Linked DNA regions of Ovis aries. The protein of the gene in region 6 interacts with the protein of the main gene of each other region in a pairwise test. Links are inferred from orthologs where the notes say so. Each region holds a gene or a part of one and is shown on either strand. Other genes may lie near its edges. The genes, in order: MMAB, SCNM1, SYCE1, LMO1, KIFC3, CBY2 and CEP44.

What was found.
Region 1: the proteins of CBY2 (region 6) and MMAB interact in binary tests that used the Homo sapiens proteins (3 or more experiments, as listed by UniProt). The two-hybrid records come from large-scale screens. The link is inferred for Ovis aries from reciprocal best matches to the Homo sapiens genes CBY2 and MMAB.
Region 2: the proteins of CBY2 (region 6) and SCNM1 interact in binary tests that used the Homo sapiens proteins (3 or more experiments, as listed by UniProt). The two-hybrid records come from large-scale screens. The link is inferred for Ovis aries from reciprocal best matches to the Homo sapiens genes CBY2 and SCNM1.
Region 3: the proteins of CBY2 (region 6) and SYCE1 interact in binary tests that used the Homo sapiens proteins (3 or more experiments, as listed by UniProt). The two-hybrid records come from large-scale screens. The link is inferred for Ovis aries from reciprocal best matches to the Homo sapiens genes CBY2 and SYCE1.
Region 4: the proteins of CBY2 (region 6) and LMO1 interact in binary tests that used the Homo sapiens proteins (3 or more experiments, as listed by UniProt). The two-hybrid records come from large-scale screens. The link is inferred for Ovis aries from reciprocal best matches to the Homo sapiens genes CBY2 and LMO1.
Region 5: the proteins of CBY2 (region 6) and KIFC3 interact in binary tests that used the Homo sapiens proteins (3 or more experiments, as listed by UniProt). The two-hybrid records come from large-scale screens. The link is inferred for Ovis aries from reciprocal best matches to the Homo sapiens genes CBY2 and KIFC3.
Region 7: the proteins of CBY2 (region 6) and CEP44 interact in binary tests that used the Homo sapiens proteins (3 or more experiments, as listed by UniProt). The two-hybrid records come from large-scale screens. The link is inferred for Ovis aries from reciprocal best matches to the Homo sapiens genes CBY2 and CEP44.

The regions. Positions count from the first base shown.
Region 1 is NC_056070.1:63,770,031-63,774,302, reverse strand, and holds the start of MMAB (corrinoid adenosyltransferase MMAB), read right to left. Parts: upstream 2,801-4,272; 5' UTR 2,749-2,800; coding exon 2,633-2,748; intron 889-2,632; coding exon 827-888; intron 211-826; coding exon 117-210; intron 1-116. UniProt on the Homo sapiens protein: Converts cob(I)alamin to adenosylcobalamin (adenosylcob(III)alamin), a coenzyme for methylmalonyl-CoA mutase, therefore participates in the final step of the vitamin B12 conversion.
Region 2 is NC_056054.1:101,063,636-101,067,909, reverse strand, and holds SCNM1 (sodium channel modifier 1), read right to left. Parts: upstream 2,801-4,274; 5' UTR 2,681-2,800; coding exon 2,579-2,680; intron 2,405-2,578; exon of another isoform or gene 2,368-2,404; coding exon 2,297-2,367; intron 2,058-2,296; coding exon 1,969-2,057; intron 1,871-1,968; coding exon 1,773-1,870; intron 1,659-1,772; coding exon 1,570-1,658; intron 1,169-1,569; coding exon 974-1,168; intron 341-973; coding exon 241-340; 3' UTR 186-240; downstream 1-185. Other genes in the region: LYSMD1 (lysM and putative peptidoglycan-binding domain-containing protein 1), read left to right, coding at 3,582-3,761. UniProt on the Homo sapiens protein: As a component of the minor spliceosome, involved in the splicing of U12-type introns in pre-mRNAs. Plays a role in the regulation of primary cilia length and Hedgehog signaling.
Region 3 is NC_056075.1:51,476,078-51,480,012, forward strand, and holds the start of SYCE1 (synaptonemal complex central element protein 1), read right to left. Parts: upstream 2,801-3,935; 5' UTR 2,761-2,800; coding exon 2,691-2,760; intron 1-2,690. UniProt on the Homo sapiens protein: Major component of the transverse central element of synaptonemal complexes (SCS), formed between homologous chromosomes during meiotic prophase. Requires SYCP1 in order to be incorporated into the central element.
Region 4 is NC_056068.1:43,996,652-44,000,625, forward strand, and holds the start of LMO1 (rhombotin-1), read left to right. Parts: upstream 1-1,174; 5' UTR 1,175-1,284; coding exon 1,285-1,309; intron 1,310-3,974. UniProt on the Homo sapiens protein: May be involved in gene regulation within neural lineage cells potentially by direct DNA binding or by binding to other transcription factors.
Region 5 is NC_056067.1:25,344,597-25,348,827, reverse strand, and holds the start of KIFC3 (kinesin-like protein KIFC3), read left to right. Parts: upstream 1-1,431; 5' UTR 1,432-1,714; coding exon of another isoform or gene 1,715-1,725; coding exon 1,726-1,897; intron 1,898-4,231. UniProt on the Homo sapiens protein: Minus-end microtubule-dependent motor protein. Involved in apically targeted transport. Required for zonula adherens maintenance.
Region 6 is NC_056063.1:16,145,755-16,149,992, reverse strand, and holds the start of CBY2 (protein chibby homolog 2), read right to left. Parts: upstream 2,801-4,238; coding exon 2,747-2,800; intron 1-2,746.
Region 7 is NC_056055.1:106,518,428-106,521,927, reverse strand, and holds part of CEP44 (centrosomal protein of 44 kDa), read left to right. Parts: intron 1-578; coding exon 579-726; intron 727-1,878; coding exon 1,879-2,025; intron 2,026-2,649; coding exon 2,650-2,772; intron 2,773-3,500. UniProt on the Homo sapiens protein: Centriole-enriched microtubule-binding protein involved in centriole biogenesis. In collaboration with CEP295 and POC1B, is required for the centriole-to-centrosome conversion by ensuring the formation of bona fide centriole wall.

The DNA.
Region 1 (4,272 bases), on a different chromosome or scaffold from region 6:
TCCAGGTTCATCGAGAGCAAGCGGCCTCTAGGACTGGCTCTGGAGGGCCGCACCTCAGTCGCACCTGCTAATGACCCACTCATACCCAACCTCAAGGTCAATCCTGTCCTCCTTACCCGATGGCTGAACTTAATTCATCTGTAGTTCCCACGGCTTCAAACACCTGGTCATCTTTGGGTCTTCTTTCTCCAGTGAAGGTGCTAGAAAACCCTGTGAGAAATATTTTGCTCCCAAAATTAAAGAGGTTTTTTTTTAAGCTTGATATACTCTTCTTTCCCCCCAATATTTATTGATTTATTTGGCTGCACTGAGTCTTAGTTGCAGCATGTGGGATCTAGTTCCCTGATCAGGGATTGGACCCAGGCCCCCTGCATTGAGAGTGCAGAGTCTTAGCCACTGGACCACCAGGGAAGTCCCCTGTTCTGACAGATTTTAAATTATCAAAACAATATATGCTTGTTACAAAAGATAACAGGATAGGATAAAAGTATGTACGGGAAACAATGAAAGCCTGCCTGTTCATTCCTCTCTCTCACTATTCAATCTCTCTCTCAGGTAACAGTCCAAGGTGTAACCTTTCCCATTGCCTTTCTGAACACACATATAAACACACACACACACTTTCATCCAACGGATCCCAACTCTGGATTGTTCTGCAACTTGCTTTTGTCATTCAATTTATCTGGGGCATCTTTCATTTGCATCACACTTGGGTGATGCCTACTGAGATCTGTCACATACTCTAATGTCTGCAAAGAATATGGAAGAACTTTCAGAGGGAATCTGCCATCTCTTCCTTTTCATTTTTCGCCTGTCCCCACCCTACCTTTGTCTCCTGTTTTGGTGTAGATCTTGGGGACCTTGGGAGTCTTCGAGGAAGGCTGTGGCCTAAGGAGAAATACACATCAAGAGAGGCTGAGTGAGGATATATGGCATATCCAGTGAGACGCCTTCTTCAGTGGGTCAGTTTGCTACCTGTACCCTTAGTGTCAGAACTCACTCCTTCAGCTTGCATCTCTTGAAATTTCTCCCCTCTGTTCCTCTTAGTTTTAAGCCCTTTGTGGGCCAGTTCTGTGTCTTGTCACACCTGTACCTGCAGAGTAGCTGATGTACTACATTGCTCAATGAAGACACTCAATAAATATTTGCTGAAAGAATTTATTGATCACTTTCCTAGTCTCTGCACTGTGCTAAGTGAATTATTGGCACTATCTCCTGGTATTATCCTTGGAATATTCCCAAGCCCCAAAGGAAGGCACTATCTATGACGTTCATTTTATGTCTGAGGAATCTGTAGCTCACAGGATGAGACTCACCTTTCTAGGTCACCCAGGAAAGAAGCAGTAGGGCTGGATTCTGGCCCAAGACTTATTCGGCAACCCCAAAGCATCACTTCTGTTCTACCAAGCCAGGGACTTTCTTTTTTAAAAATATTTACTTTTATTTATTTGCATGCACTGGATCTTTAGTTGGGCACCTGGTTTCTTTCATCTTCACCGTAGCATGTGGAATCTTTAGTTGCAGCATGTGGGATCTAGGGATGGAACCCAGGGCCCCTGCATTGGAAGATTGGTCTCAGCTACTGGTAAAGAATCCTCCTGCAATGCTGGAGACCTGGGTTCAATTATGGGGTCGGGAAGATCCCTTGGAGAAGGGAAAGGCTACCCATTCCAGTAGTCTGGCCTGGAGAATTCCATGGACTGCATAGTCCATGGGGTCGCAAAGAGTCAGACAAAACTGAGTGACTTTCACTTTCACTGGAAAACCAGGGAAGTCCCAAGCCAAGGGCTCTTGAAAGGGAAAAAAAAACCCTTCACACTATGAAGCTTCAAGTATACTCTGAAATGGAGAATTGCCAAAATAGGGTTCAAAAAGAGGCATTTTCAAATAGCAACACCTTTAATACAGACTTCAACATTAAAATGTGACATTAAAAGGTTATTAGAGGTTGAATTACTGGATCTATAAAACATATTGCTGCTGCTGCTAAGTCGCTTCAGTCGTGTCCAATTCTGTGCGACCCCATAAGACGGCAGCCTACCAGGCTCCCCCGTCCCTGGGATTCTCCAGGCAAGAACACTGGAGTGGGTTGCCATTTCCTTCTCCAATGCATGAAAGTGAAAAGTGAAAGGGAAGTCACTCAGTAGTGTCCGACTCTTCCCGACCCCATGGACTGCACCCTTCCAGGCTCCTCCACCCATGGGATTTTCCAGGCAAGAGTACTGGAGTGAGTCAGGTTTGAGGTCCAGGATGGGGTGCTAGTTTCAAGGTATGTGATGAGAGCCATCTTTACAACGCGCTGGTGTCTCTCTGTGTCTTGACTGCTTTGCAGACAGGTTAAGATCCGAACTGAGGACCCCTACTGATTGTGAGGTCAAGCAAGATGACCCTCTTGGTTCACGTGGGCTATGCCCGGTCCTGACGGATGCTGGGTTTCGTTTGGACTTGTCTCGTGCTAAGAAATCTTGGTCTCTGGTTTCCCCGGAGCCCAAGTTGCCATGGTGACGTCAGGATTAAAGAGGAGGTCACCTGGCGATTGCTGCGGTGACCTCCCATCGGTGTGATGTAAACACGGCGACGACAACACAACTCAGGTCAGGTGTCTGAGTTAACTTCTCAGCCAGGTACTCACCTGTCCCCGTCTTCCACGCCCTGGGGGCCACGGCTCTGGAAACGGGGACACAATAGCTTGCGGGCTCCAAGGCACTCGCGCAAGCCAAGGCGACCTCCCAGGCCCCACACAGCCATGCCCCAGGCCGCTCGTCGAGGGCTGACCCCGCCAGCTTGCCGTCCAGGTTTCGAGGCGACTCCACCTACCGCCGGCCGCGCCACCGCTCAGCCTCATCTTCTATTGGTCCGTGGCTCTCTCCCCAGGGCGGGACACTCCCAGGGACTTGCTTCCCATTGGTCCAGGGAAGGATTTGGGCGGGGAAATCCGTGAGGACTTGGTGAACGGCAGCTATTGGCCAATGCTCAAGCCAATTGGTAAAGGGAACTCTCGGCTCGTACGCTCTGATTGGCTTGGCGGAAGGAAGAAGCCGCCTCACCTCGGGTACCCGCGAGCTCTGGTATGGAGTCTTGGAGCGGCCCAGCTTCGGGAGCAAGCACCTGAGGCGACAGGTGAGAGGTTGGGGTTGCGAGGCGAGGTGGCGCGAAGGCCGAGGCCGAGACCCAGAACGACCCCGGACTGGGCTCCCGGCCTCTCAGGCTGTTTCCTCAGCTCTGAAAATCCGTCCTCAGGAGCCGGCGACCTGGAAACTGACAGGATTTTGAATCGCGGACAAGCAGTAGGTCTCCTCACTTGGAGTCTGAGTTTCCCTCCCTGAGGAACTGGGGTCATGGTAGCACTTAGCTCATAGTTCGGTTCAGCTCTCACGCTACTGAAGTAAAGCCTTAAATAGATAGTTTTTTTCTTTTCTGTTTTTTAAGTCGCTCAGTCGTGTCCGACCCTTTGCGACCCCATGGACTGTAGCCTGCCAGGCTCCTCTATCCATGGGATTCTCCAGGGAAGAACACTGGAGTGGGTAGCCAGTCCCTTCTCTGGGGGATCTTCCTGACCCAGGGATCGAACCCGGGTCTCTTGCATTCAGGCGGATTCCTTACCGTCTGAGCCATCAGGGTAGCTTTGCATTATTCATAAAAATCTAAAATGTGCACACGCACACCCAGCAAGTCACTTTCTAGGACTCTGTCTTGCAGAGATCCTGACTTAAGTGTGCAAAAAAAAAAAGGGGGGTGGGGAGGTGTAACAGCTGTTTATCTGCAACTTGTTTCTAATTGTGAAACGTTAGAAACAGCCTGAAAATGCCCAGGAAAAAAATTTCTTTCCAGTCCATAATTTCATTTAAATTTCTACCTTTAATAGTAGTACTAATAAAAGCTGGAACCAAAAACAGAGTCAGTAATACCGAGCTATCAGTAACTGACTGTGGTGTGCCAGACACTGCTAAGTGTTTTGCTTGCGTTATTTAGTTTAACTTTCTCAGAAACCATTAAAGTAAATAGTTACTGTCCCTGTGTAACTTTTAAGGTTCGTGGCTATTTGATGGCTGTGTGGCTAGCTAAGATGACATCACTGGGGAGCAGTGGGTTCGAACCCAGATTTTTTGGAGAATTATTATTATTATTGCTTGGAGAATCCCAGGGACGGGGGAGCCTGGTGGCCTGCCGTCTATGGGGTCGCACAGAGTCGGACACGACTGAAGCGACTTAGCAGCAGCAGCAGGCTGACTGCTGCCCCGCACTGCTTTTGGGGCACACAGCAAGTGCTGA
Region 2 (4,274 bases), on a different chromosome or scaffold from region 6:
CTCCTTCTGACAGACTTATTAATAGGGCACCAGGCTGCATGCAGCTGACGCTTGGCATGACTGTGGGAGAAGGTGGGGGAGGGGTCAGAAGTGTGGGGAGCTGTGTACCTTGCAGAGAAGAATTGGCTGGGCTGAGAATGAACAGATCTGAAATCCTGAAACAAGGAACCAGACTCAGGAGAAGCTGGGCTCCCAGCGCCGGCTGTAGTTTATTTGTGAAATGAATGGGGAACGAGGATGTCAGTCCAAGGGGAGATCAGGGGGTTCCTCCTCATCAGAGTCAAACTCAACATTTTCATCTTTTACCCATCGACCTCGTCCATCTGGGATCCATCCAGAGCTGGAAACACCAGAAAATAGAACTGGTCAGGAAAGGAAGTTTATTAAATTAAGAAAAGCATGTGTGCGAGTGCTCTGTCATGTCCAACTCTGTGACCCCATGGACTGTAGCCTGCCAGGCTCCTCTGTCCATGGGATTTCCCAGGCAAGAATACTGGAATGGGTTGCCATTTCCTTCTCCAGTTGGGAATCTTCCCAACTCGGGTCGAACCTGCCTCTTGTGCACTATAGGATTCTTTACTGCTGAGCCTCCTGGGAAGCCCCAATAGTTCTTTCTATCTAACTGTAGTTAATTTCCTGAACTATTTGAAAAAAAAGTTACATATGTAAGGAGTCTTTGTGCATGCATGCACGTGTGCTAAGTTGCTTCAAGAGGAACTGACTCTGTGACCCTATGGAATGTAGCCCGCCAGGATTCTCCAGGTAAGAATACTGGAGTGGGTTGCCATGCCCTCCTCCAGGGGATCTTCCTGATCCAGAAATCGAACCTGCATCTCCTGCATTGGCAGATGTCTTCTTTACCACTGTGCCACCTGGGAAGCCCCGGGGGATAAGTAAAAACACTTGAGAAGCTCTGAAACAAGGAGGGTCAGAGATAAAAGGGAAAAACTGAGGAAAAATTCTGCATACTCACCTTCGAAGGGTGAGGTAATGATCCAGGGCCCGTCTTCTTGTGGGGCTCATAGGTGCGGGGGATGAGACAGTGGCTGACTCCTTGGTCTGTGAGCCAGCCTCAGGCTCAGGTTCTCTACTGATCTTCCCACCTTGGGGTTCAGCCTCTGCGGGTGGCAAAGGGGGACGAGAGACAGAGGGACGAGGGGCTTCCGGTCTGGACAGAGAAGAATCGAAGTCTGTAAAAGCAGTAAAGGAAAGGGCCTAATCTCCTGTGACTCCCAACTCCTTATAGGAGTGCTTCCCAATTTTGTGTTCCTCAAGATATTAGTAAGTGTTCTGCATAAAAAGAATTCTGGAATCCAGTAAATTTAGGAAAGTCTAAATCTTTTAAGGTTTTTTTTTTATCTTATGATTTTGTAGAACCCTTAAAATACACTAATTTTTAATCAAATAGGATTACAAAGCACTTTTTTAGTTACAAAAATCTTTTTCCTGAAATACAAGTTAACACCCCCAGAACACTTAGTATGTCTCAGATTACAATTAGGAAAATAATCACTTTAGAGCTATCTATCTCTTGTCCCTCCCTACCTCTGGCTTTCCCATCCCACTAACCTGTACTTCCGGCGGCAGCAACTGTTATAGTGAGGAGCTCTGTGCAGAGCACTCTGAGTGATAAGTCGAGTCTGGGTTAAGAGAGGAGCCTGGCATGGAGACAGCAGAGTCAGAGCCTTCAGAGCCAGAAATAAGCCAAAGTCCTTTAGCCTAAGGTGTGCAGCACAGTCCTGCCTGGAACACAACTTCCCCTCTCTGATTACCTCTGCTGTGGTCTCTTCTCTCCTGAGTTCATTATGCTGTCTTGGATTCTGCTCTGTGCCCTTTCCTGCTGGCTTCTTGCCATAGAAAAGCTGCAGGCCTGAGGAGAAAGGGGAAGAGGATTAAAAGCAGAGCACCAAGGGTGGTCTGAAGAGATTTTAAGGGTTTACTCTATTGTCTGTCTTTTCCCAAACTTACTGGACAGATGTTTTTTGCCTGCACGGTGGGCAGTCAGCATGGCCAGAGTGTCCAGGACGGGTCGGTGGGGACAGATGGCACAAGCAAAGCTGGGGAGTAAGAAAGATAATTGGTCCCTGGGGAGTGGAGTCTTGGTCATAGGTCCCACCCCGTCCAAGCATTCATTTCCAAAGCCCAACTCCCAAGTCTCCCAGTCTCCATCACCCACATCCCTGTTACTCACTCCCAGCCAAAGAATCCTAGATACTCCCGCTCTCCTCCTTAATAACAAAAGTTCTTGAGTCTCTAACTTCAAAACCCTTAAACTTGATCCACTCCTCGCTCTCACCGTCCATCCCGTAGCATCAGCGCCTCATCCTCTGGGATGTAGCTGGCAAGCAGGTCCCCGACCCTTCGTTTCTGCAGGAGACAGGGGAAGAAGTCCGCACGGGATCAGCTGGATATGAGGGAAGGATAAAAGGGAAATGATAGAGACGAGGACTGAAAGGGAATAAAGACCATGGGAGAACACACATCTGCGGTGAAAAAGGGGTCACCACCACCTCTAGTCTTTTGGTTCCCTCCACTCCGCCCCCCAGTTGTTGCCACAGCAACAAAACAGCTCCTTTACAGCTTTCAGAGGGCAGGTGAAGCTGCTTCGGAAGCACTCCTCTCCGCATACTTTGAGCACATTGAGCTGACTCCAATCGTCTCCTTCCCTCTTGAAAGACATCAAGACTGTGAGCCCCAGAAATCAAAAACTCTATCCAGCCGCCTTCGCCACGCCTTTCAGGCCACCGTAGCAGGAGTGGGTCGTCTCCGTTCCTTCCGGTCTCTTTCCTGCTGGCCCCCTGACTTCCGGGGGTGTGCTTCCACGAATGCACTGCGCGATCCCGGAAGCCAGCTTCTAGCCGGCCGAGGGGGACTGTATTTCTTATGGTGCCCTGCGACCTCACCGGCGCGGGGCCTTTTGGGAAATGAAGTCTTTTTTCAAAGAGCTTGCCGCCGGGCTGGATCCAGGCCCTTTCGTCTTGGCAGATTCGAGGCGTTTGGAATGACAAGAACCTAGATGAGGAGCCCGAATTTGAGGGTGTGACTGATTTGGTTTGGAGAATACCTTTGAGGATCTCTGACGGAGAAAGAGTGCTACAGACTCTGGCTATTGTCACGCCCTTCGCCTGCAACCACAGCCCATATAGGGTGGGCCTGATCTGTTCCTGACCCTAGAGGGCTAACCCCGGGACCGGGCGGAGTCGGGGTATTGGGGAGCCTGGAGGTCGGGCTGCCAGACGTAGGGGCAAATTGAGCTGCGTGTTAAGGAGGCTGCTAGAGTTCAAAGGTCAGGGGTCAACGTAGCGAGTTGTTGTGGGGAGTCGAAAGTCGGAGGGGTGCTAAGGAAAGACTCAGGTAGGGACTGAATAGTCGGAGTACAGATTTGTGGGAAGGGGACTTGCAGGGAGGAGAAGCTACGGCTGACAAGTCGCGTATCGCCGGGGGAGGCGGGGAGACTTAAGAGAGAAGACTGAAAGAGAGGAATCCTCTAAGATACCCATTCTCGGACCGCGAGCCCGTCATTATCGGTCACTTGGCCGGGCCTCCCGGGGTTGTAACCTCAGTGTCCGCAGGGTGAGGAGATGGCTTCTCCCTCTAGACAGGCCCCCCTCGGGGGGTCAGGACTGCTTCAAGGGAGCCGGGCTCGTTCTTATGGAAGCCTGGTGCAGTCTGCCTGCTCCCCGGTGAGGGAAAGACGCCTGGAGCATCAGTTGGCGCCCGGAGACACCCTGGCTGGACTAGCACTCAAATACGGGGTGACGGTGAGTCTTCCAGGATTGGGACGTAGACACCCAATTAGAAGAGGTTTATTCCTCATGAGAATGTATGGCCCTCTAGGCAACTTCCCCTGAAATTTTCTTAATTGTGTTTATATTAACTAATTGTGATAAATTGACTGTGATAAAGGTTTGGTCACCTTTATCTTTTTGTTTCCTCATCTCAGTGTTGCACTGTCTGGTGGGAACAAATCCTGTCCCATTATCCCAACGGAGGGGAGCAGCATTTATTTTTTAGGCCAGTCACTGTACTAAAGACTTTACATCCATTAGCTCATTTGATCCTCACATCCCTATCAAGCATATAATTATTGTGCCCTTTTTACAGATGAAGAAACTGAGACTTAGATTGGTTAACCAGTGTGACCAAGGTCAAATAACTAATAAGTGTTGACGTGAAAATTGAAACAGGTCTGTCTGATTCCAAAGCCTGTACTGTTAACTACACAGAAATATTTTAATTGAGAATGACTAAACATTCCAGAGAAGGTAATGGCA
Region 3 (3,935 bases), on a different chromosome or scaffold from region 6:
TAATAGACTAGGCAGTGAGCTGCACCTTTATTTTTTTCTTTATTGCATATTAAAAGGTAAGGCACAGAGTGGGAAAGCAGAATATATCTGTTGAACAAGTCAACTAATATATTGTTAATAAAAAAAATCAAGGGTACCACTGCCTATGTTATTATATGAGCCCCCTTTTTTACTTATTTTAAAAAATTTCAAATTTACTTAAAAGTTGCAGAAATAGAACACACAGCTCTATATGCCATTCACCCCAGTTTTACATTTGCTAATAATCATAAACTTTAAGAATAAGTTGCAGATACAATTCGTCATTGCCCTCAAATACCCCAGTGTGAAGTTCTGAAGTACAAGGACATGCTCCTGTGTAGTAACAACAGTACAACAATTAAAACAGAGACTAGCAGTGAGAGATATTAACATGTGATCATCAAGTGGTACTTTAAAAATGTCTCCTACTTTCACTTTTATAAATTAAAAGTTCCACAAGTATCAGTTACATAGTCCTAGTAGAAAAAAACAAATATTAAGGTTAAAAACGTTCCTTCACCTTTGCATTGCCCTTAGAAACTAGATTGGAGAAGGCAATGGCAATCCACTCCAGCACTCTTCCCTGGAAAAGCTCATGGACAGAGGAGCCTGGTGGGCTGCAGTCCTTAGGGTTGCCAAGAGTCGGACACGACTGAGTGGCTTCACTTTCCCTTTTCACTTTTATGCACTGGAGAAGGAAATGGCAACCCACTCCAGTGTTCTGGCCTGGAGAATCCTGGGGATGGGGGAGCCTGGGGGGCTGCCGTCTATGGGGTCACACAGAATTGGACACGACTGAAGCGACTGAGCAGCAGCAGAAACTAGATCCCTCCATCAGAGTCATCAATTAGGAAAGCAGCCTCCAGACATCTTTCTGTGCAAACTACACAGTATTGCAATTTTTCTATCTTGCTTTACTCTCATAAAAATGTTTTGAAGATCATATTGTATCTGTATGTCTAATACTTTCAACGTTGACTTGGTTAAGTGTATTTTAATTCTACTTCCTCTTCATTTTAGAAATCCACTGCACAGGTATATCCCAGTGTGCATGGGATTTAGCTATTCCCTTCCCAAGTTTTCCTACCACCATTTAAGCTCCAGTCACTATCCGATCCATGCATCTATGTATGTCTTGGGTGATCCTATAGGAATGTGACCCAAAAGGGGAAAAGATAATTAAAATGTTAAAATTTGTGCCAGAAGGACTACTGCAAAGCCTTCACCCTTTCTTCCTCTCGTCAGAGTATGACATGGTCTGTATCTTTACACCACCGTTAGGGCTAGATAGCACCACTGCCCCCTTTTTAGAAAAAACCCAGTAGACTGAGAATGGAACCTTGATGTCTCATTTTCTCTCACTGCTGTAGGATGAATGTTTGTGTCCCTCCATTTTTCATTTGTTGACATCCTAAAGTCTGATGAGATGGTATCAGAGGGTGGGGCCTATGGGAGGTGATTAGGTCATGAGGCTAGAGCCCTAATGAATGAGATTAGCACCTTATAAGAGACCCCAGAGAGCTCCCTTGCCCATTCTGCTGACACAGATGGACATCTAAGATTCAAGAAACTGGTCCTCACCACAGGCAAGAAATGGTGTTTCACCAGTTATAAGACACTGGTGAAGTCAACTGCATCTAAATATGCAAGCTTAATGAACTTGAAACAAAGATACTAAGAGGTTTCTTTAGCACAGTGGCGAACACAGTAGGTGCTTAAGAAAAGAGATCTATATACATCTGTTCTGTTTTTCTTTTTGTTCTTAGCTGAGGATTGTTACTGAATGCCACTCCTCCCTGCTCCAAGCAAGCTTTCTGTGCTAAGTTTATTTCAGTATTTAAACCTTCATTTTATTTATTAAAGAAAAGCCACAAAGCACCTGTCATGTACCAAAACTGCACTACTGCCTGCAGCTGCGACGGACATGGCCAAGACGGGTTCATGAGAGCATCTCAACACGGGGAGACAGGGAGGCCACGCAGAGCAGAGGCAAGCTGAGGGATGCGTGTTCCTTGCACAGTTCTCTCCCCTTTTGTGTTAACACCCAGGAGCATGTCCTTCGGGGGTGGACAAGCCTGGGAATATTTTTTATCTTTCTTCTCTCTGCTAGGCTGTTATTTCAGAAAACTTTATAACTGTAATGAGCTGCCATGCCTCTCCTTTCCCGGTGAGGTGGGAGCCACTGTTCAATAGGTCAGAGTCAGGAAGAAAAAAAACGTAACGCTCTGCGGGGCGGTCTGGATCCTGGTTTGGGGGAGGGGGAATCTACTGTTGAGGACCATCATGGAACAACAGGGAAATTCAGGGGTTCGGTGCTGTGAGATGAGAGAAATGGGACAGACTCCTTCCCTCGGGTGACACGGGCCGAGAACAAGTCCCTTTCTGTTGCAGGAGATGCCTGTGGGACGCTCAGGATCAGACTGAAAGGATGCCCTCTGCCTACTTTAACCTACTCAAGCACAGCAGATGGGGCCAAAGGAAGTGAGTGCACGTGGGGCACGGGCCTTCTGTGAGTCCACCCGGCAGAGCCGCCAAGATCCTTCCCATGGGGCTGATGGCCATTTTTCCTCACGCCCGCCCCGACTCTGAGGAAGAGGCGCCCGCGTGCGCTCCCTGCCTGCCCAGCCCTCAACAGCCGTGGTCGGGGCCGCCGCCAGGCCCAGCTCTACCTCTGGCCTCGTCAGTCGGGCCCACGGCTCCCGCCGCTTCCGCACTCGACGATCCCGGCCGCCCAGCCATGTCCTCTCAGCTCGCCGGCGCCGGCGCCTCCTCTGGGATTGGACGGAAGCCGCGCCAGGGGCGGGGCGTCCTCAGCACGCCTGCGCAGTGCACCTCTGCGCCGTACGTACCCTCCTTCCAGCCGGCAGCTGGGGTGGCGGTTGGGCAAGCGGCGGTGCGCGCGCTTGAGTCCACCCAGAACAGATTCCGTGCAGAGCAGGTGTGGGGGGCGCGCACGGATCTTCCAGGCTGGCGATTGGCTGGTTGAGGAGCTGGCGACCTGCTAATGACAGAGGTCTCACGAGGGACTGCCCCATGTGGCGTCGCCCACCTTGCGAGGAGGGCACCTGAACCTGGTGGTGGGGAGCCGAGTCTCTGCACATGTTGAGAGGTTGGCAGTTAACCCAAGGACTCTGGCTTTCTGGATGGAGGCCATAAATTGCCCTCCCCACCCCCTTATTGCAAAATTCAGACTTAAATTGAAGAAAGTCGGGAAAACCACTAGACCATTCAGCTATGAGCTCAATTGGATCCCTTACGATTATGCAGTGGAAGTAACAAATAGATTCAAGGGGTTAGATCTGATAGAGTGCCTGAAGAACTGTGGACAGAGGTTCCTGACATTGTACAGGAGGCAGTGATCAAGACCATCTCCAAGAAAAAGAAATGCAAAAGGGAAAAGTGGTTGTCTGAGAGGCTTTACAAATAGCTGAGAAAAGAAGAGAAGCAAAAGGCAAAGGAGAATAGAAAAGATATACCCCTCTGAATGCAGAGTTCCAAAGAATAGCAAGGAGAGATAAGAAAGCCTTCCTCAGGGATCAATGCAAAGAAATAGAGGAAAACAACAGAATGGGAAAGACTAGAGATCTCTTCAAGAAAATTAGAGATACCAAGGGGACATTTCATGCAAAGATGGGCTCGATAAAGGACAGAAATGGTATGGCCCTAACAGAAGCAGAAGATATTAAGAAGGTGACAAGAATACACAGAAGAACTATACAAAAAAGATTTCTATGACCCAGATAATCATGATGGTGTGATTACTCACCTAGAGCCAGAAATCCTGGATTCTGAAGTCAAGTGGGCCTTAGGAAGCATCGCTATCAACAAAGTGAGTCGAGGTGATGGAATTCCAGCTGAGCTATTTCTAATCCTAAAAGACGATGCTGTTAAAGTGCTGCATTCAATATGCCAGC
Region 4 (3,974 bases), on a different chromosome or scaffold from region 6:
CCTGGAACTCTGTACTGTCAAAAGAGAAAAAAAAAGCCCTTGATATTGAAGAGTGGCCTTCCTGGAGAGAAGGCAGCCTGGGCACCAGCCCCAGGGTGCTCAGAGAGAAGCAGGGTTCAGAAGGAGAGGAGATGAACACTGTATCTCTTCCTGCCTCCGGCGTTACTAAGCAAGAATCATCAATTCTGTAATGGTAGGAATCTGTTTTCACTGCTGTATCCCCATGTGCCTTAGAATAGAGCTTGGTGTATAATATGTGCTCAATAAATAGTTGTGGAATGAAAATAATAACCTTCAAGGCCATGCTGTGCTTGCTTAGATAGAAGCTGAGACAGGATCTCATTCTCTGTGAAATCAAGATGCTCTTCTGAGGGCCTGCTGGAGTAAGGGTGGTGATGGAAGACTCAACAGTGAGAAAATCTGTGCCCTGCAGAGGGTTAACTTTGCCAAACAATCCAGGAAGCAACCAGGAACCCCAGAGAGAGGAGGTAGGAAGGGAGGGTACGTGGTCAGAGAAAGAGTGCCCCTTGGGAGGGGTCCAAAATCAAGGCTGAGGGGACTGAGAGACAGGAGTAGTCCACCAGATAGTGATTGGGAATGAGGACCCTGGGGCCTGAGCAGAGCCACGCGCCGAGTTGAGGCCTAGAGGCCTCCAGGTGGCGCTGCGGAGCCGGGCAGCCGCGCGTCTCCACTCCCCATTAACTCGCGAGGGAGGGGGGCCTCGGGAAATGTGTGCATTTATTCAGTAGCAGGAGTGCAAACCTCATACATTGAGGGAGAAAGGCAGCGGGAGACGGCCGCCGAGATTCCCCCATCTCTTTGAATATAATTTTAGATTGAGATTCAGATTAAATCCGAGGGGAAAACACTTTATGAGGCTGAAAGCTGTGTCGTTGCCAGAGCCAGGGTTATGAGCTATCAAATGCAATTACATTAAGACAGATTATACTGGGCAAATTGAGCCATTTAGAAGGTGAGAATCAAAGAAACGGCTCTGATCCTCTCTTCCCACTTCTCGCTCCCTCTCCCTCTCCCTCTCCAAATTGCAGTTCGTAGTTCCTTGCAATTCTGAGGCACAAAAGTAGGTGAGACTGCTTTTGTATCTGCGAAGTGCTTCACTTCTGAATGTAATTCTAGCTGAGTGCAATCTAGGTTAAGAGCCGGACAAGCGGGTAATTAGAGTCCGCTCGCTGCCCGAGGACCGGCCGCCCCGCCGAAGCGCGCCCGGAATCGGCGCCCTTCTCCCGGCCGAGTCGAGCTGCGGCTGGACACGGAGCGCCCGAGATGATGGTGCTGGACAAGGAGGACGGTAGGTGGCGGGCGGGGGTCCCAATGCCCCGCGCCCCTGCGCCCCCGCCACGGCGCGCGGGAACACACACGCCGGGACACGGGCGCGCACACGCCGGGCTGTGCTGGGCTGGCGGTCCCCAAGGGGCTTGGGACTGGGGTGGGGAGGCAAGGGAGCTCTGGGCTGCGCCCCCCCGGGGCCGGGCCAGGCCGAACCGGACCACGGGCGGGCGAGCTGTGCTCCGGCCGTGTGATGCTCTGCGGGGCCGCGTGGAGGCTCTGGCTGCCCCCGGATCTCGGCGCGGAGGCGGTTCGCGTAGAGCGTTTCGTCTTTGCGGCTGCTCCTCTCACCGCAGCCATCACCCTCGCGCCGCACGCGTAACCCGAGAGTCGCAGAGCGCCGAGCAAATCAGTGGCTTCGGGAAATCGGACTCCAGAGCTTGCGGCCGGCTGGCGCGCAGAAAGAAGGTGGCCACCGCGGTGCCCGTCAGGCCAGGGGGAAAGCCGGCCGGACCTTCGGGGACACAGCTGCCCGAAAGCTCGTTGAGATAAAGGGACGCCTCCTGTGCTGCCCACTGTCTCCCTGCGGGCTCTTGAGCTCGGAGGCAGGAGTTTGGCCCAGAGGAAGAAAGTGTCCCGCTCCTGGCCAGTAGCACGCGTGCCGGAGCCACCAGGACCTACCCTGATCAAGAGCTTCACTGCGCCTGAGAGGTCAGAACAGCGGGGCCCGCGGTGGCTAGAAGCCACTAGCAGGGGGTCTCACACACCCAAAGCCTTCCTGACTGTGACTGTCCCGCAGTAATTGTCCTGGTATGTGCAGGAGAGGTCGGAGAACCCAGCCCCCTTGAGGGTAAAACCAGTGGGTGTCCTGTGACCCAGGGGCAGCCCTCGGGGTCGGGAGATTGGCCCTGCCCTGGAGGTGAGGGTTACCTGGTGGGTTAGTGTTGTCGGGAGACATGAATGTAATTGTTAGCACCCAGGCCCCAGCTGCGTTGTACTGCTGGTGAGGACCTGAGAAGAGGGGTTTCCTGTGAGTCAGCCGGAGTCCTCTTTGAGTGACATCAGCTGACCTCTCCCAGTGAGTATGGAGGTCTGTGCCCTCTGCCCTCCAGGTCGGTGGTGTTCCTGACCTGGTCACTTGGTGGAAATCTGAAGTTAAGTGACTTAAGGTCGCACAGGATGTTCGCTTTGCTGCCACTGTGTGCCGATGCCCCTAGCCTCCCTTCCACCCACTGAGACCTCAGGCAGGAAGAGCCATTTAAAATATCTGGCCCAGGGGTGGCATGTTGGGGAGCTCTGTGGCTGGTCAGCCCATTTCTGGGCATGTGTGTAGAAAGAGAGGGAGGAGGGCTAAATGCTCAGGCCAAAAGAATCCATTTGCCAGGGTTTGACTAGGGTGAGACACCCACTTCCTGTGTGTTGTTCTTTCTTTGTGGGCCCCTCCCCTGGAGCCCCAGGTGGGCCATTAGAGGGCTGGGCTGGTGCAGGTGTGTACAAATTGGAAAGGAGAAGAGGTCTGGGGTGAGGCCAGACAAGGAAGAAGGAGTCCTTGCTTTAGTTCCTTTCTCATCGACTCCCCGTGTTATCTTGGACCAGTCGTGCCCATCTCAAGACCTCACTTTTCCTCTTGGTAAAGTGAGGAGCCAGGGCAGCCAGGTCCTTCCTTGGTGTTTGGAGGTGCTCCCACCATGGGGAGCATGTGAAAATTGGGGTATGTCTTCAGCCCAGATTGTTTGGCACTGACTCCCTAGGCCCAAGCCAGAAATCCAGAAGACCCAGGCCCTGTACACAGGTGGCCTCAAGCAGGAAGACTGGCTTCCAGCTGACAAGATAACACTGCCACCAGCACCAGCTCTTGTACCCTGTGCAGGCACCCCAGAATGCCTCGACTCTGTGTACTAAAGGTTTCTAGATGAGCCCTAAATGGAAATGGTTCTTTGGAGGTCATATCAGCCAGTCTCCTGCCTACCCACCCTGGTATATGTGTTTCCCTTAGTGTTCCCCAGACCTGTAGAGAAGAGCTGGCTCTGCCCTAAGGTCCCCAGCCTGCCCAGTCTTAACGATGTGGTGCCCAGTAGTGCTGAGATCACTGAGCTCTGGGACCCCTCACAGCACAAGGAAGAAGACTGGCTTAAGTCCTGAGGAGTCATTTGATTCGTGTCCTGAGCATGTCTTTCAAAAGCAGCCTTTTTGCTCATAAATCCACCCTCCATTCCCTGTTGGAGTCTAGCATCTCCTGGTTCCAGGAAACCTTGAAGGTGGTACCTTCAGCTAGATGGAGGGAGAAAGGCTCTAGACCCATTCACATCCTCACCTCCCCCCCACCCCAAACCTGCTGCCTAATTCCTTCCTCACACTTAATGCTCTCCCAGCAGGTGGCCGTCTGGGCTGGGTGGCAGCAGTGGTCCCCAGGGCCCCGAGGAGTGTGTTCCTCCCGGCTGTGGACTGCACCCTTTGTCTGGCTGCAGCGGGGAACTCAGGCTCCTATTAACCACCCCCAACGCCTTTTCTCCACCTGACAGCATCTTGTGGGAAGAAGCCCAGGCTCCTCTGGTTGAAGTCAGGTCTGCCAGCTGCCGAGGACCAAAGCTCTTGCTCTGCTGGGCTGCAGGGCTTTCATGTTGCACTTCTGAAAGATAATAAAATATCAATCGCTTTGCCGTAGCAACGGGTTTAAGAGACTTTCT
Region 5 (4,231 bases), on a different chromosome or scaffold from region 6:
CTGCTGACTCTGGAATAAAATGCCGCCTCTGTTTGGGAGACAAAGAACAGAGTGGCTCCTCTGGGTCAGCTGGCTCTCCTTGGCTGGCAGGCTCCCTGCCTCCCCCAGGCTGCTTCTGGGACATCCTCTGAGGAAGGCCGTCTGGGCCTACACCAGGAGCTGCTGTCTGCTCCAAGCTGGCATTCTGAATGTGTTTTCACTGGAGATTAAAGGAATATTTTACCTTTAAAAATCCCAAACAGCTTCCCTGCTCTGCAAGACATCTATCTCTTGGTGGGGTATGAGAGGGGAACAGGGCCAGGCAGGAGCAGGGGGCAGCAGGTGGTGCCCTGGCTAGGGAGGCAACCTGGCCTGTGTGCTCCTACTAGAGCTAGTGAGAATGCACGTGTGAAAACGCGTGTGCTGATGTGTGACAGTGCATGCATGGGCACGTGTGCTCACTAAAGCGTGTGTTGTTTAGTTGCTAAGTCAAGTCTGACTCTTTTGCAATCCCATGGAGTGTAACCCGCCAGGCTCGTCTGTCCGCGGGGTTTCCCAGGCAAGAATACTGAAGTGGGTTGCCATCTCCTCCTCCAGGGGCTCTTCCTGGACCTGGGATCGAACCCAAGTCTCTTGCCTTGGCAGGTGGATTCTTCACCAGCTGAGCCACCTGGGAAGCCCATGAAAGTCTGTACTGGGGTTAGCAGCATAGGAATGTTGCTCTGTGAAATGTGAGGAAGAGTTCAAGAGTACCTGAAGAAGCATGTACAGCATTTGTGGGAAAGCAAGGGGGAAAGTCTGAACTCCGTACAGGAATGTGAGTGCACATTGGAAGTGTGTGAGAATGTGCAAGTGTGCACACATACTAGCTAGTGTGTGTGTGCTAGAAAGTTTTAGAAAAAAGTATACTACAGATTGTGAGAAACTGTGAAGCGTGGCAAGGGAGCACTTGTGAGAATTGTGTGTTAGTAGTAGTAACTAGTGTGTGCAAAAGTTTTGTACTAGGGTTTGAGGAGGTGTGGATGAGAATGTCAGTTTAAGTGCAAAGCATACACGTAGGAACGAACGTCGGGATGTGTGTGGGAACTGTGAATGTGTTCATGTGGACTCACTAGAGCGTGTGTGCAAACCTGTGAGAGCCGCGTGTATTGTATGTGAGCACGTAGGACGGCTTGTGTGCGTCTGGGGTGAGCGCGCACGTGTGCACGGGCGTGTGCGGAGCGCCGGGAGACCCAGAAGAAAGGTCTGAGCAGAGCCGGCGGCCCCGCGTGAGAGTGTGAGTCTCTGTGTGTGTGCACGCGGGAGCGCGCGCGCGTGCCGCCGCCCCCCGCCAGGGTCTGAGCCGGTTGCCATGGGAACGCGCCGCGGCCCGAGTTAATCATTTCCTGTGGAAAGTGTGCGGGAGGGGCCGGAGCGGGGCGGGAGCGGGGCGGGCCAAGGAGGCGGTGGCGTGGAGCTGCCTCCCGCCGGCGGGCCGGGCCGGGCCGAGCCCCTGGCGCTGCGGCGACGCCGGGATCCTGCCTCCGCCAGGCCGGTGAGTCCGGGGCTCGGGCGGGAAGAGGGAGGGCTGGGCGCTCGGGTTCCGCCCAGCCCGTCGTTCGGGGTGTCGCGTCCGGGATCCCCCTGCCCAATCCCGAGGTGGGGCGCGGGGAGGGCCGGGCCCGGGAGACCCAGCCCTGCGCTATCCCGCCCCCACCCCCGCCCCCCACGCTGTCCAGCCAGAGCCGATCAGAGCATGGGGGCGACATGTCCCCTGGAATGCGAGCAGCCTCGGGACCCCCTTTCCGATTTCAATGGCCCGGGAAAGCCGGAGATTGCCAGGGAACCGCGTGCCGGTCAGCGCCGCCCCCTCCCCGGGCCGAAGTCCCCGGGTCCGCAAGGCTCCCTCGAACGCTGCAGTTTCGAGCCCTCCCACCGCGTAGGTCCTCTGGGCAGTTGGCTTTCCCCTTCGCAGGGCCGGGATGGGGTGGGCTAGCGGCAGGTTAGGAACGAGGGCCTGGGCCGGCGTCCCCCTGGGCAGTGGGGAAATTGAGCCTTTGACAGCTGCAGCCTGGTGGGGAGGGGTTCCCAGCTGGGAGGGCCAGCCCGAAGCCACCTCTGTCAGCCCCCTGTTGTGAGTTAGAGCGGAACTCTGGCGCAGTGAAGGGCCTGGTCCTGGCAGATTTTAAAGAGGAAGCTGTATTTAAATTCTCAAGTACCATTTGTCATCAGCACCCCCCCCCCCCACACACACACACATTTGTCTCAAGGTTGGGGGTCCTGGCCACACCTGCCCTTTCGCCTTCTCTGGCTTTCTGTCCTCCTGAGGCTGAGCCAGCAACTCTGCTGGCCCAGGCTGTTCCCTGTGCCCTTGATAAAAGTAGCCGTCTCCTTGGCCAAAGAGTCATTTGTGAGGAATGCAGTCTGAGAATGGGGCCCTGTATTTGCAGTGACTGGACTTAAGGGATGTGGGGGTAATGCGTTCTGCTTTCCCTCTGGGCACCAAGGGACAGAGGCTTTGAAATCTGGGTTGACCTGCAAAACCTAGGATGTGTGACTGCTCAGGGGAGGTCCAGCCCCTGTCCACCCTCCCAGACCTTCTGCCCCCTCTCTCAGGGAGACGAAGACTATGTTTCCCCAAGCAGTGGTCTCTGGGCAGTTGTCAAGTCTATTCCCCAATCATTGCAGCAACCCTGGTCTGGGGGAAGAGGGCTGCACCTCTGCCACCCTGGCCTAAACCTGGAGAGGCTGATGGGGCTCTCCTGCAGCCTGCCCCTGCGTTCACCCACCGCTGGATATAGGTCACTGAAACATTAAATTTGCGGGGGGGAGGGGCAGGGTTCTTTGTATATGTCAGTATTGTTCTTAATGTTGTGTATATGTGTCATCCAAACTTTACATCAACCCTATTAAGGTAGAGTTCTCCCATTTCAAAGATGGAGATACTGGGGCTTAGAGACAAAGTCATTCTCCCAGGGTTGCACATCTACTAAGTGGTGCAGCCGGGCTCTGAACTAGCTTTTGGTCATAACCACGCTGTGCCCCCATCACCCCGTCCTAAGACCTAGGTTTTTGTGTCTCCAGTCTTGGGCTGTTTGAAAGTCCTTGATGCTTTTGACTCTCACATCTGACAGTCTGCTAATTCAGCTACTTTTTCCTCTCCAGGATCTTGCACACACCCTTCCTCTTTCTTCCTGATATCTTCCTGCCTCCCAACTTCCCTTCCTGAAAGCCAGGAAATAATGTGTCCTTCTGTCCCTGCCCCTCAGGCTTAGCTGACCTCCTTAAAAGTCTTCTCAGGGCTTCCCTGATGGCTCAGCGCATATAGAATCTGCCTGCAATGCAGGAGACACAGGTTCGATCCCTGGGTTGGGATGAGCCCTGGGTAGGGATGATCCCCTGGAGAAGGAAATGGTAACCCACTCCAGTATTCTTGCCTGGAGAATTCCCACGGACAGAGGAGCCTGGCGGGCTACAGTCCAAAGGGTCTCAGAGTCCAACACAACTAAGCACAGAGCACATGAAGGTCTCCCTCAACCATGGAATCGACCTTCAGTGCCCTTTGCCATCTCACCTTCCAGCAGCTCAGCATGCAGGTGGAGCCCGTCTCACTCCCTCCTTCTTTACCCACTGGGCAGCTGATCCTCAGGGCAGATTGTGTGCCCAGCTCTTTGCTGAGTAGCCTGGAGAAGGGGACGTCTGGCTACATCTCCCAGTTCCCTCCACTCCACACTCGTCCATCTCCATTTCCTCAGCGGAGCTACCCACAGGCAGCATTAATGTCCACTCTGCCCTTTGGCCAGCAGTCCTGACCCCTGCCAGGGAGAGGGCACCCAGGAGATTCCTCCTCCAAGGTGTCTTCCTTAATCAAGGAAGGTAGAGGCCAGGACTCTCTAGCCAAGAGCCTGGCATTCTTCCAGGGCTCAGCTCTGCCAACCTCAGGCCACCCATCCTTGGGGTCTTCCTTCTCTTGCCTCTCAATGCTTCAGTTGTTCCTGTTCCTCTATTGACCCAGCATGTGCAGATCTCTCCTGTTCTAAATTCCACATCCTCTCCTTCCCATCCTAGCCAACTTCTCCAAAGAGAAGGAAGTGGCAGCTTCCTCTGGCCACCCCCACCCCACCTTAGACTTTCCCAGGTCTGCCCTCTGTTCTGCTCCATTGACCTTTCTTCCAATTGGATCTCTCCGTGGCATGGTTCCCTGGTAATTGACCATCCCCTCCTTCTCACTCCCGGTCACCTCTGAGGACTCTTCACCTGTCTGTTGCTTCAG
Region 6 (4,238 bases):
CAGTTTCTTCCTTGACATGTAGGACATGCCCTCATAGGTGGGAGAGGAGAAGCGGGGGGCTTCTTCATGGAAGAACGGGATACAGGAAGGAAGCAGGAGGGGAGACGTGTGGCCGTGGCTTTGTTAGGAAGGTGACCCAGAGATGCTGCTCTCGGGAGCAAAGTGCTCCCGGCTGTGACCTAAAGAAGCTGCATCAGTGCTAAGGACGCAGGAAGGGCCCTGGGTCCCGAGAGCTCCCGCTCAGATGCCTGAATCCCACCTGTGGCTGAGCTCCATCCTCAGCATCAGCCCTGGGCCTCCCTGGTGGCTCAGTCTGCCTGCAATGCAGGAGACCCTGGTTCCATCCCTGGGTCCGGAAGATCCCCTGGAGAAGGGAATGGCAGCCCACTCCAGTAGTCTTGCCCGGACAATCCCATGGACAGAGGAGCCTGGCGGGCTACAGTCCGTGGGGCTGCCGAGTAGCAAACGTGACTGAGCGACTAACACTTTCACTCTTCACTCTTCATCCTTCTCCCCAGCATCCGTTTTTAAAATACACGTGGTACTGGAAGGAAAGTGTATGAGATAACCAACTGCATGCTTCGGTCAGATCACCAGCCTTTTGTGTGGCAAATGGAGCCCACACAGGAGGGATGGTGGCTAGAAACGGGGGTAGGGCTAAGGGCAGAGGGGAGGTAATAAGACCAAAGCATCTTTCTGAAGCTAAGGGGTATCTAAGGAATAGGACCTTCGGGGATGGAGCTTTTGAGGTTGCTGGCCTCCCATCTGAAGCGTTGGGGAACAGAACTGGACAGTGACTTGCCAGTTTAGTTGCCAGGCACTGAGATTCTCTGCACTTCCACAGACCAGAAGAGACGTCCAAATGCCCTCAGCAGACTCCAAGTCTGTTGACCAAGTGTTTTTAAAGCCCTGCTTTTGCCAGCATTACTGAGGGTTATGGTCAGAGAATATTCAGCCCTCTGGGGTTACGTTTCAAGCCTGGGGAAGCTGAGACCCAGAATATGCTGGAAGGAAAGGCAGCTGCTGCTGCTGCTACTGCTGCTAAGTCACTTCAGTCGTGTCCAACTCTGTGCAACCCCATAGATGGCAGCCCACCAGGCTCCTCTGTCCCTAGGATTCTCCAGATCTGCCACTAATTTTCAGACCAGGTGACAAGGCTGAGTATCACGAGCATATGCTTAAATCAACTCCGCTCCCAAGTGCCATGAGAAAGTCAATGTTGGTTTTAATAAACGCTAACAGATAAGAGGATAATTTGCAGGTCAATGTAATTGATTTGGATAGAATCCTAATACTAACAGCAAAGAGGCTAAAGATGTCCTCTCTCATCGTATGTGGTAGTTTTAGCTAATTGTTTAACACAGAATCTTCCGAAATCCTCCTAACACTTTTTCAAACTGGCAGAGCTACAGGCATTGTCGGCCACAGATTCCATAGCTTCCAAAGAACAAACCCAAACAAAGGGGATTGAAAAAAGGCAACAGAGAGGGACAAGGCGGGGCCCTGGAGGGGTGATGGGACCCTATTCTGACCTGGTGAGGAGCCTTCATTAACAATCTCGCAGGAAACAGTGCCTTTATGAGATTCACAGAGAGTGCTCACTGGGAAAATGGGAGTGCTGGGGAGAACCGGTAGGTAGAAAAGGAATGGGGGGGGGGCGGGGGCAAGGGAGGTGGGGGGGGCAAGGGGGGGGGGGGGGGCAAGGGAGGTGGAGGGGCGGCGTGCAGAGAACTTGGGAAGGAAGTAACTAGGGAAGGCTGGCAAGTTAATGCCCTGGAGAGAAACAGATTAGAAAACACAAATATTTACTGTGAGGAAGGAAAACTGGAAATCAATAAGACCCGAAAAGACCTAAGGGTGATAACAAATAGAGAATCACAGACATTCGCAATGCAAATGAGAAGCGTTCAGGCAGGGTTGGGAGCTGGGGGGGTGCAGAGGCACTTTCTGGAGACACAGAGCTGCTCCTGCAATTTCTTCTCAAAACAAATGGACTCAGTCTCAGAACCAGAACGGAGCAGAATGTGGCAGATTCGTGCAGGGGCTTGGCAGTTAAGATGGGGGGTGGGGAGGCACCCTGTCCTAAAAGCCAGGGAAGAAGCAGGCGGCATGTGCCCAGCTTGTGGCAGAGGACGTGGGCACTGACCTGGCTTCAAGCCTCTAACTCCAGCTCCGCCATTACTAGTGGACTTGCTGAGGTTCCCAGTTCCCGGTCCTTTGCAATCTCTCCCTCGCTCTGCATGGCCCAGGGCCCCGATGTGACCAATCCAGTGCGCAGTCACTCTCCTTTCTTCCCCGTGTGACCCAGATCAACCCTTCCCCTGCCACCAGCCGTCAGCCTCTCCTTTGGGGAGGTCCAGTCGGCACACTGGTCCCTCTCACAGCCCGCTCAGATCATCTAAACGCAGAGGTGCCCCTTTATCCCCAGAGAGAAGGAAATGGCAACCCACTCCAGTACTCTTGCCTGGAGAATCCCATGGACAGAGGAGCCTGGCGGGGCCACAGTCCACGGGGTGGCAAAGAGTCGGGTGCGACTGAGCACGCTTCCCCCAGAGTGTGCCCAGCCCATCCTGGCAGGGGTCTGGAGCCTGACTCAGGACTTGTGCGCCTCCAGAGTACCCTGGACGCTCATCTGCCCGTGTGTGGCACAGGCAGCAGGTTGAACTCTAATTTCATGCCTCCAAGACCCCACTGGGGAGTCAACCCTCTCCCCACACATCCCTGGACAGAGCTTTCAGATCGTTACCTCTGCGTTGGATTCCTCCACCCTACATTTCAGCCCCTCTGGTTGCACCGCCATGATCTTCCCCCAGGGCCTTAGGTGACTCTGGAGAAGCAAGGCTGCCCCCTTTGTGACATAGCAGCAGAAACAATCCAATCAGGAGGACCCCTCCCGGGAAACGGCTGCTTAGCAGAAGGAGAACTGAGAATGTCCAGCCTGTCGCCCGTGCGCTGGCCTCCATTCTGACCCCCCCAGGCTCATCCCCCTTACGCTCTGTCCCTGGTACACGGCAGGCCCTAATTCTCCTGACCCCTCCACAGGAGCCCAGACCCCTCGGTCCATGTCCCAGGTGTATGGGTTCGGGCCTGTGCCCTTGATCCCAAGTCTCAGTTCTAATCCTCTACCCAGAAGTCCAGAGTAGTGCACAATGTGGGTGTGTGCTAAGTCGCTTCAGTCGTGTCCGACTCTGCAACCCTCTGGACTGTAGCCCGTTAGGCTCCTCTGTCCGTGGGATTCTCCAGGCAAGAATTCTGGAGTGGGTTGCCATTTCCTCCTCCAGGGGATCTTCCCCACCCAGGGATCGAACCCGGGTCTCTTGCGTCTTTTGCATTGGCAGGCGGTTTCTTTACCACTAGTGCCCCCTGGTGGTAAAGAAGCTCCAAACGCTCTAATTTTGAAAAGATTGTCACAGAAACTTCTAGTGGTCGGGCTGGATGGTCTTACCAGATCAATGAACCCACCCTCTCATCTGACCGGAAACCCAAGACTCCAAGTGACTAAGTGGACTGCCCCTGGCACACAGCTGGCTGGCAGCTGACCTTCAGCTAGAATCTGAGGCCCTGGCTACCACTGACCTGCAGTATCTTGCTAGAGCTTGGAAAGAGGGGGATTATTCTGGCCAAAACTGAGAGGTTACAGCCTTCAGTGTTCATCCCTACCTGAGGTAGAACCACATTGATGGGAATTTCTAGGCTTTCAGATCTGGTATCTCTTTTTCTTGTAAAATTTGGCCTCGAGTGCTGTGGAAAAGAGAAAATAGGCAGATTTCTGTTTTCCAGCCCATCGTCTGAGCCTCAGCTGCTCAACTGCAAAACAGGACTTCCTACTATTCACTTCTCCCCTCCTGTTAATTATGTACCTTACGAGAATGTGAAGATGGTATCTGATAAGATGCTTCATCAATCTCTGAACAGAAATTAAGACAGGTCTATATAGTTGATGACAAAGCCTTCTGAAAGTCTTTAGCTACTAGCTTTCCTAAGATTACTATTTCTAGCTCAAGGAAAAAGCCATACCAACGTTAGGTGCCAGGTATAGGTCCTGTGCAGAAGTTGGTCACCAAAACACTCAGAACATTCCAGAGGTGACATCACAAAACAATACGGTCTTTTTCAAGGCTCATGGTCTCTCTCTGAGCATCACAGGTGGGAATGAGGGGCCTGCTGGCCAGGCATCTGGTTGTGTCCACGTGGCCGGTCAGGGTCGGTGTGACACACAATAGCCCAGACACTGGACC
Region 7 (3,500 bases), on a different chromosome or scaffold from region 6:
AGATTGGATGGATTTATTCATACAGAATGAATGACACATAACTGAAGAGAAAGACATACTTGTCTAGGCTAGAAGAATTAGCATAATCTAACAAGGTAGATTCCAAATGCACCTGATGTCAGGGGAAGATCGTAAACTGGTCAGCCTTGTTAGCAGTGATACCTTTTCCAGTCCTGGTATCCTCATCTGTAACTTAGAATTCATAGTATTTTTCTCTTGGGGGTTTATGATAAAGAGTAAGTGAGGTGATATGAGAATATTTGCAAAACCATAAAGCCTAGTGGCGTACTCTAAGGAGGTACATTTGCTGTATTGGTAGGAGAAAATAGACTAGATCAAGTAAGGCCAGTCTTTGGAAAATCAATAAATACTGTGATAAACAGACTGTTGGTATTGATGCTGAAGAGTTTTTGTTTCATAGTAATTTGGCTGCACTGGTTTAGAGTAGGGGGTGGAATCTGAAGGGTCTCGTGCATCCCCTAATTATTATGGCTGTTGTGTTAAATTATGAGTTTTTAACAGCTTTTCATTGTGGAATTAAGCATATTAAAAATCTTTTTTCTCTTTTTTCCATACAGTTTGGTAAAGGGAGATACAGCAGCCTCTCTGCCCATCATCAGCTATTCCCTTACCTCATACTCACCCTATGTAGCAGAACTTCTGGTCGACTCCAATGTTGAGCTCCTAGCAAAGAATGACTTACGCTTCATAGATACTGTCTATAAGGTATTTTGAGTTTATGAAACAATAATTCTTTTAGAAGTCATTGAATGATTTTTTTAGATCAATATTTTTATAACTCCTTACATATATAGTTGATAGTATTTTCGTATGTATTTATCTTATGTAAATGAAGTCTCTGTTACAATCAAGATGCAATTTGTTTGCTTTTATGTTTCATACTCTAATAAATATGATGACTGGTAAACATTTATCATTGATTATCATTTGTCTATTTTATGTCTGTTTTTAGTAAAGTTTGGTATACTGGCAGAAGTTAGAGTGAATGTAGTTTTATTAAGTAAAATTTGTGGTTCATAGAATTGTGAGTTAATTTATTAATTTAGTTGTTTGTAAGAAGGAACTGCAACTTATATTAGAACAACTTGTGTTCCTTGAGATCTGAAACCGTGTCTTATTATCTACTTTGGCATCTACACTTGTACTACATGTATCCTGGACTTAATCTCTGTTTGATTTTTCAAAGCCCTACTTTGTATCATTAATTTTATTTATGTACTGTGATTTATGTAACCTTAAAAAAATAGTAAAAGCCAATTTATCAAATCAAATTGCTTTTTTTTTCTTTTTTAAGTAAAGAGTTTGATGAGAGGGTAGCTTTTATATGTAGTCTCTGTTTAATCTTCCCTTTCTTTGCTTCTTACCTCAGAAAGCATCCATGGCAGCCTAAAAGGACTTCTAGGAAATCTGAGGTTACACAGAAGAGATTTTGGAAATTACTCTTTTAATCTGTTTCTTTCATTTTACACATGAGAAATTGAAACTGAGTAGCCTACTGACTTGTCTAAAAATTGTCATAATTTCTATAAACAAAGAGAACTATGGTTTTCTGATACCTGGTATTAGCAAGCAAAGGAGTTTTTCTAGTTCCTATGAGAATATTTGAAGCTTTTGATGATTATCTTTTCCATCTTTCTGGATAGCTATCTGGTACATTCCTAGCTACCTGTTTTCTACCTGTTTCCTACTTGATCCGATCTCAGCGCCCCTACAAATCTCTTTAGTGCCCTTTCTATAGTGGCTTAATCCTCTCCCATCTCTTAAAAATGGTAGTACATCCCTGGTCACTTACCATTTTAGATTTTTGAAAGAAATTGCTCCCAACCATTATGCTGGTCTATTATTTCCTCTTTACAGCTTCTTCGTGATCAATTTAATTATAAACCAATCTTGACAAAAAAGCAGTTTATCCAGTGTGGATTTGCAGAATGGAAAATCCAAATTATATGTGATATTTTGAATTGCGTGATGAAAAAGCACAAGGAGTTGAGTAGTCTTGAGAAGGTAATTTTATTAATAGATTTTTAACTTATGTTAAGTGGCTATATTTTAATATATAAAATCAATACCTAGTCAGCAAATTAATGCACAGTACAATTACTGTGCTACTCACAGATTTGAGTGGCCTTACAATGCCAGATGTTTGCTTTAAATACAAGTCATTTGTTTTGACACATTTGTGACTTGAAGCTACTAGTCCTAAACTAATATAACAAACTAACATAATGCATTTTCATCACTTTGTAGTTTTCAAAAAACATGTGGTCTCAGACTTGCAGTATTTGGCAGTCAAATTTCATGAAAATTTAAATGATAGAGGAATTTAATATATATATGCTACCTTCCCACATAGTTTAGAAAGAAAGAAAGAAAGAAAGAAAGAAAGAAAGTGAAGTTGCTCAGTCATGTCCAACTCTTTGCAACCCCATGGACTGTAGCCTAACAGGCTCCTCCCTCCATGGGATTCTCCAGGCAAGAGTACTGAAGTGGGTTGCCGTTTCCTTCTCCAGGGGATCTTCCCGACCCAGGGATCAAACCCGGGTCTCCTGCATTCCAGGCAGACGCTTTAAAATCTGAGCCACCAGGGAAGCACATAGTTTATGAAATCTTAATACCTTTTTTTTTCAGACTCCATCACAACAAAGAAAAAAGACCAGTTCTGCCAAGTCAGAACCTTGTTCAAGTGCTGAGAAGACATCTACTGAACCTGTGGGCATTGATGTCACTGGCAGATATGTGACTTCAGGAAAGGTGGGACAGTACAAAGACAGTGTGTCGCGTTAAGAATTACCTGCCTGACTGATCCAACACACAAGGTTCACTTTTCTGCCTAACATCTAGAAAAACATTCTATTCAAACAGTAGAGTGTAAGGATTTTTCACAATACATATCGTGTATTTTCTGGGAACATTCCTAAAGTTAGAAGAAGAGGGTAGAAATGTACAGTTGAACATGTTTTCTCTTTATATTTCTAATCCCAAATTCTGCCTCTTGTGATGGTGAAAATTTACTCTTAATTATGTATCTAATCTTCCTAAAGGCCTTCGCTTTAGTTCTAGGTCTGGATTTATATACATTTATATTTTTGTACCAGGAATATAGGTTAGCCAATGGTTGATAGTCCTTAAATCTGTAATCTGGTTTGGGGATGGTGTTCTGAATATTTTCTATTCGTTGGCCGATACTTTCCCTGTCCTTGTCTGCTTCAAGAAGCTGTGGCTGAATGAGTTCAATGCATTTAGGGATAGTTTTTCTATCTCCAAGGGAAAATGAAACCATAATATTATTTTATAATGGTGAATATGCTTTCAGCTGTCTTCCGCATGGGGCAAACCCATCGAGACTGAAGGATAGACTATCAGACAAATAATCAATGTGTCATTAGATATAGGATTTGAGTATATTTGAGTAAGATTCAGGGAGTTATTTTTCCCCAATTCATAATATGAGTTATATTATGAGTAAAGTATAAATAAAT